Linked DNA regions of Callithrix jacchus. The protein of the gene in region 1 purifies or fractionates together with the protein of each later gene. This does not show direct contact. Links are inferred from orthologs where the notes say so. Each region holds a gene or a part of one and is shown in the gene's direction. Other genes may lie near its edges.

What was found.
Region 2: the proteins of TBL1X (region 1) and CTNNB1 purify together in Homo sapiens (affinity purification with western blotting; 4 studies listed by BioGRID). This does not show direct contact. The link is inferred for Callithrix jacchus from reciprocal best matches to the Homo sapiens genes TBL1X and CTNNB1.

Annotation. Positions count from the first base shown.
Region 1 is NC_133524.1:9,907,829-9,911,328, forward strand, and holds part of TBL1X (F-box-like/WD repeat-containing protein TBL1X), read left to right. Parts: intron 1-780; coding exon 781-913; intron 914-1,296; coding exon 1,297-1,438; intron 1,439-2,295; coding exon 2,296-2,359; intron 2,360-2,467; coding exon 2,468-2,565; intron 2,566-3,500. UniProt on the Homo sapiens protein: F-box-like protein involved in the recruitment of the ubiquitin/19S proteasome complex to nuclear receptor-regulated transcription units. Plays an essential role in transcription activation mediated by nuclear receptors.
Region 2 is NC_133518.1:79,023,169-79,026,668, forward strand, and holds part of CTNNB1 (catenin beta-1), read left to right. Parts: intron 1-1,179; coding exon 1,180-1,324; intron 1,325-3,500. UniProt on the Homo sapiens protein: Key downstream component of the canonical Wnt signaling pathway.

The DNA of each region.
Region 1 (3,500 bases):
GTCAAAATATAAAGAAATCTAAAATATTTACTAAATTGCACTAAAGCCAGGATTTCCCTAGAATCATCAGAAGTCGGCCAGGCACGGTGACGCACACCTATAATTCCAGCATTTTGAGAGGCTGGGGCAGGCAGATCACTTGAGGCCAGGAGTTCGAGACCAACCCTGGCAGCATAGTGAAGCCCTGTCTCCACTAAAAATACAAAAATTACTCCAGTGTTTTGGCACACACCTCTAATCCCAGCTGCTTGAGAGGTTGAGGCATGAGAATTGCTTGCACCTGGGAGGTGGAGTTCGCAGTGAGCTGAGATTGCGCCACTGCACTCCATCCAGCCTGGGCGACAGAGTAAGACTCCACCTCAAAAAAGAAAAGAAAAGGAATCATCAGAGGTAGTATTACTTAGTACATAAAAACAAGATGTTTCTGGAAACCACAGCACCCTTTAAGAGCGTTTCACGGCCGGGCGCGGTGGCTCAAGCCTGTAATCCCAGCACTTTGGGAGGCCGAGGTGGGTGGATCACGAGGTCAGGAGATCGAGACCATCCCGGTCAACATGGTGAAACCCCGTCTCTACTAAAAAAAAAACAAAAAATTAGCTGGTCATGGTGGTCCGTGCCTGTAGACCCAGCTACTCAGGAGGCGGAGGTTGCGGTGAGCCGAGATCGCGCCATTGCACTCCAGCCTGGGTAACAAGAGTGAAACTCCATCTCAAAAAAAAAAAAAAAGAGCGTTTCTTTTGTATTGGTAAGCCACTTACTTCTCTGTGTTTCCTATGACAGATAATCACGTGAAGCCAATGGAAGTAGATGGGGAGGTTGAGATTCCATCCAACAAAGCCACAGTCCTTCGGGGCCATGAGTCCGAGGTGTTCATCTGTGCCTGGAACCCTGTCAGTGATTTGCTTGCATCTGGGTAAGGATGTCAGGATGGGGGCACTCCAGGGTTGGGGAGATGGGAGCTGCTTCCCTTTCTCTGGGGTTCTGCCTTAAGGAACACACACTCCCCATATTACCCCAGTGTGGGCAGACCTGGGAGTGGGCGGCTCTTCTCTGCATGTCTCAATTTTGTGGAGAAGCCATAGTTCCAAGTCATTTTCTCCATGGGGTGGTAAGGAACACAAAGGCATTTAAAATTACCAAACACAAAGAAGGCAAGGAGGGAAACAGGGATCCAGAGGTATGAAAAAGACAGAAGAGCACGTGCCAAAGATGCCATCTGGCCAGAGAGCAAGCAGTGGAGAGCTTCTTCTCCCATTTAAACCAAACACCAGAGGCTCCTGTGTTTTTATTCTGCAGTTCCGGAGACTCAACTGCAAGGATATGGAACCTGAATGAGAATAGCAACGGGTGCTCCACCCAGCTCGTGTTAAGGCACTGTATACGAGAAGGGGGCCACGACGTCCCGAGTAACAAAGATGTCACCTCACTGGACTGGAACGTAAGCATCTTCCACCCCCTGGGCACTTTGAAATCGGTAAAACCTGCCAGCCACCAGGCAAGGGCTGCAGTGATGGATGGAGCCCACGCAGACACAGGAGACAGGCAGTCCCCTGTGCTCAGCCCCACCCTGAGGGGCTGCCAGAGAGGTGGTCCTGGCTTTTCTTTTTTTTGAGATGGAGCCTTGCTCTGTTGCCCAAGCCCCAATGCCGTGGTGTGATCTCGACTCACTGCAACCTTAGCCTCCTGGGTTCAAGCAAGTCTCCTGCCTCAAGCTCACGGCACCACACCAGGCTAATTTTTATATTTTTAGTAGAGACAGGGTGTCACCATGTCAGCCAGGCTGCTCTCGAACTCCTGACCTAATGTGATCCACCCACCTCAGCTTCCCAAAGTACTGGTATTACAGGCGTGAGCCACCGTGCCTGGCCAGTCTTGGCTTCTAAGAGCTATTAACAAGGCTGCATTTGGCAGACAGTGAGCTGTGTATTCAGTAGCCATATCTTTGCATGTGAGCATGCTGTAGCAAAATGAGCCTGTGGCCTCATGGTGGGAAGGTAGGCTGGAAGCCCCAGAGTAGTTCTCCTGGAGAAAGATGATGTGCAGCCCAGAAAAGGTGACTTCCCACCTTGGGATTTCAGCAGCAGGGGTTATATGCATTGACATGTGGGATGCACACAGTTTGACTACTTTTTTATTTTCTGCAAAGTCTTGTGATAACTTTCAGCATGGTATTTTTAATTCTGTCATTAAGGAACACGCAGTGGCAAATAGTCCCAGTGTACTGGGATCCGGGAGAGGCTCTGGGAGCCCCTCCTAAGTTGTTTTTGTGGGTTTGTGTCTCTTTCTGGCCCTCAGACCGATGGAACACTCTTGGCTACAGGTTCATATGACGGTTTTGCAAGAATATGGACGGAAGATGGTAAGTCCAGTGTCCCTCGTGCTGGGGTTGGGTAAGAGGAGCTGCTGATGGAACCCTTGAGTGAACAGCCTGTGACACTGAAGTCAATATGTTTGTTTTTACTAACAGGTAACCTGGCCAGCACCTTAGGCCAGCATAAAGGCCCCATCTTTGCCTTGAAATGGAACAGAAAGGGGAATTACATTTTGAGTGCTGGTGTGGACAAAGTGAGTATTAGCTTAAAAAATATCCCTTTGAGCTACAGGTGGTTAGATATTTTTAATCTCAAAATAACATCATGGTTTCTTGGAACTCTTAGGTTTTGTGCTTCCCCTAAAGAAATGAAAAGGATTTGTTAGGCTTTGTTTTTGTGGTTTTGAGCTTTCTGTTACTTTGTAACACATCATCTCTTAATATAGTCTGCTGTTCTGCAGACCCATGTGCAAAACTTCCCTTTATTTGAGGTACATGGTTCGTTGGTAGAGAGAGGAAAAATCTCCACATTGCCTTTGTCACTTGCTGGAAGGAGCCACGTGGTATGGGGCATGCCCTGCCTGAACTTTCACCCACTGATGGGCAAGTGGCACCGGCTGTGTATGTTCTTCAGGCTTCGTCTTTCCTCATTTGATCAACTGCTGCTTCCCACCGTAGACTGCAGATTTCTCTGAGCAGGAGTCAAGCAACCTGGGTAAAAGGGCACACTCTCCCGATGGCCCACAGATTAGAATTGACTTGCTCTGCACCTGGGCAGGGCTGCAGGGAGACATGGCGGCGTTAACTCCAGGTGCATCTGAAAACCATCAGTGGGGTGGGAACGAACACAAGGGCAAAGAGCAGGGGGATGCAGACTCCATCCCAGCCCGGAGCGATTCAACCAGCAATCTCAGCCTCTGTGCATTTCACTTTACTCACTTGTCCAGCGACAGGGCTGGCTGGAGTCATGACCCCAAACAGCTTTTGTGGAACTGTTGTGCGTTCCCAAGACTCAGCAGGAATTCTAAGTCATGGCTTTGGAAAAAAAAAGCATTATCTAGAATTGAAAAAAAGAAAAAAATAGACATGTTTTCACATCAGTGTGTGTTTCTACAACAGCTGGAAACCATGCATGAATACTGGAGGATGCTCGGACCTCCACAAATCTTTGCATTTTGTGATGATTTCA
Region 2 (3,500 bases), on another chromosome or scaffold:
TTTCCATGAATGAGGTTGTGGGGATGGTTTCTGGATGATACTGTTCCACCTCAGATCATCAGGCACTAGATTCTCATAAGGAGCATGCAGCCTAGATCTCTCACATGTGCAATTCACACTGGGGTTTCCACTCCTACAAGACTTTCATGCTGCAGCTGATCTCACGGGAGGTGGAGCTCAAGCTGGCTAATGCTCACTCACCTCCTGCTATGCAGCCCAACTCATTTCTATTTAAAATCTTTGAGTTTTCATATGTAAAGCACTGTGCTAAGTCGTAGGGATATGATAGGCAAGCTTCTCTTCACACTTTTGTTCTAAGGTGGGATGTAGATGCTGAGAATAATAACCTAATTAATATTTAATTTATGTAGTGGGAAGAAGTGGGGCTATGAGAACACATAACAAGTGAAACAGGCCCTCTTTTTCAGGGTTCAAGGAGGCCTCTTGGAGGAAGTGATAGTTGAGTTCAGTGTTCAAGAATGAGAAGGGATTCACTAGGTGAAGGTTAGGTAAGAAAACAGCATCTTTGAAATGAAGGAAGGAGATGGAAAGTTTTGAGAATTTAAGAAATACTAATGAGGAAGGAGGAAGAAAGGCTTGAGGTGAGGCTATTGAGATAGACTCAGCAGATCTCATAGGGCTTTGTAGAACATGTTTAAAAGCACAATAGGAAATTTCAGAATCATGAAATGAAATTTGTTTTTAGAGAATTGGGACAGTGTCAAGAGGGAGGATATATAGGGAATGAAAGGGCAAGAGTGAATGATCCTTTTATAATATCTGTTTTTAAGGTGGATATAATTAGGAAAATTAAAAGGGCCAATTGATTAGGAGTTTTAAGTACCAGTTCTGGTTCAGATTTCAGTGAGTCAGTTTTGAGGGCATTACTGTTGCATACCAACATGGTTTCTAAATTTTTTTTTGTTTTTCTATGAGCAGTATGGGAAGAAGGAAATTGGACCAAAACTGATAACATTCTTGGGAGGACTGGGATGTCTGAATTTGAGTGGAATGCTTTAAAGGGACAAATTGAATAGGGCCCCAGTGTGGGGATCTGAGTGATGGGGTCCAATGGCAAGCTGGCTGAAATTCTTGTGTAATAAAATAGGTTGGTAATACAGCTTTTCTCAGACATTTGATCACGATTTCATGACCAACAGTATATGTACATCTTTCTAGCTGATTATACTGGCCAGTGGTGGACCCCAAGCCTTAGTAAATATAATGAGGACCTACACTTATGAAAAACTACTGTGGACCACAAGCAGAGTGCTGAAGGTGCTATCTGTCTGCTCTAGTAATAAGCCGGCTATTGTAGAAGCTGGTAAGTATATGTATCTGTGTCTGTAGTTCTATTTAGATTACTTTTATTAGAAAAAGGTGATAGCTACCCAGGAGGCTGAGGCAGGAGAATTGCCTGAACCCAGGAGGCGGAGGTTGCGGTGAGCTGAGATCGTGCCATTGCACTCCAGCCTGGGTAACAAAAAAAAAAAAAAAAAGAAAGAAAGAAAGAAAAAGGTGATAGTACTTTAACGACTGAAAATAGACGGTCTTAGTTTGCAGCCAAGATTACATTCAGAGTATGTGTCATCAGAGTACAGTAGCTAAATATTTAAGACTAGGTAGAGTTCTTATTATCTATCAGAAATTAATGGCACATATTGTACTTGATAAAATTTGTTTGTAATTTGTTTTGAGTAAACCTGAGATTTGCTAAGAGACCTATGAATTTATAGGAGAAATGACAAATTCTAGTATAGTACAATTTTATGAAGTAAAATGATTGCTTTATTAGTAGATGCTCATGAGCAGTGTGTTTTTTTTTTTTTTAACTTTTAGGTTCATTATATAGGTAAATTGCATGTCACAGGTTTACGTGCAGATTATTTTGTCACCGAGACAATAAGTATTATACCCAATAGGTAGTTTTTCAGTTCTTTATCTCCCACCCTTAAGTAGGCCCCAGTGTCAGTTGTTCCTTTTTTTGTGTCCATGTGTACTCAATGTTTATCTCCCACTTAATAAGTGAGAACATGTGGTATTTGGTTTTCTGTTCCTGTGTTGGTTTGCTTAGGATAATGGCCTCCGGCTCCATCCATGTTGCTGCAGAAGGCATCTTGTTCCTTTTTTATGGCTGCATAGTATTCCATAGTGTATATGTACCACATTTTCTTTATATAGTCTACCATTGATGGGCATTTAGGTTGATTTCCATGTCTTTGCTATTGTGAATAATGCTGCGATGAACATATGTGTGCATGTCTCTTTATGGTAGAAAGATTTCTTTCTCTTTGGGTGTATACCTAACAGGATTGCTGGGTTGAATGGTAATTCTGTCTTAAGCTTTTTGAGAAATCACCAAATTGCTTTCCACAGCGGCTGAACTAATTTACTTCCCACCAGCAGTGTATAAGCATTCTTTCTCTCAGCATCCTTGCCAGCATCTGTTGCTTTTTGACTTATTAGTAGCCATTCTGATTAGTGAGAGACATTATCTCATTGTGGCTTTGATTTGCATTTTTCTAATGATCAGTGATGTTGAGCTTTGCTTCGTAAGCTTGTTGGCCACTTGTATGTCTTCCTTTGAAAAGTGTCTGTTTGTGTCTTTTGTCCACTTTTTAATGGAATTGCTTCTTTTTTGCTTGTTAAGTTTATTGTAAACTCTTGATATTAGACCTTTGTCAGATGCTTAGTTGGCAAATACTTTCTTTCATTCTCTAGGTTGTGTTTACTCTGTTGATTTCTGTTGGTGTTCTGAGCTCTTTCTACTGTCCCATTTGTCAATTTTGGTTTCTGTTGCAGCTGCTCTTGGCATCTTCGTCATGAAATCTTTGCTAGGTCCAATGTCCAGAATGGTATTTCTTAGGTTATCTTCCAGGGTTTTTATAGTTTTAGGTTTTATATTTAAGTCTTTAATCCATTCTGAGTTGATTTTTGTATATGGTAAAAGAAGGGGTACAGTTTCAGTCTTGCATGTGGCTAGCTAGTTATTCCAGCACCATTTCTTGAATAGGGAGCCTTTTCCCCATTGCTTTTGTTGACTTGTTAGGTGTGCGGCCTTATTTCTGGACTCTGTTGTGTTCCATTGGTCTGTGTGTCTGCTTTTATACCAGTAGCATGCTGTGACTGTAATCTTATCTTAATAGTATAGTTTGAAGTGGGGTAAAATGCCTCCAGGTTTGTTCTTTTTGCTCGGGATTGCTTTGGCTATTCAGGCTCTTTATTGGTTTCATATAAATTTTTAAATAGTTTTTTTTTTTTTTTAATTCGGTGAAGAGTGCCATTGGTAGTGTGATAGGAACAGCATTGCACCTGTGAATTGCTTTGGGCAGTGTGGCCATTTAGCAATATTGATTCGTCTTGTCCATGAGCATAGCACGTTTCTTCACTTGTTGGTGTCACCCTGAGTTCTTTGAGCAGTGCTCTGCAATTCTTGTGGCAGAGGTCTTTCACCTCACTGGTTAGCTGTATTTCTAGGTATTTTGTTCTTTTTGTGGCTG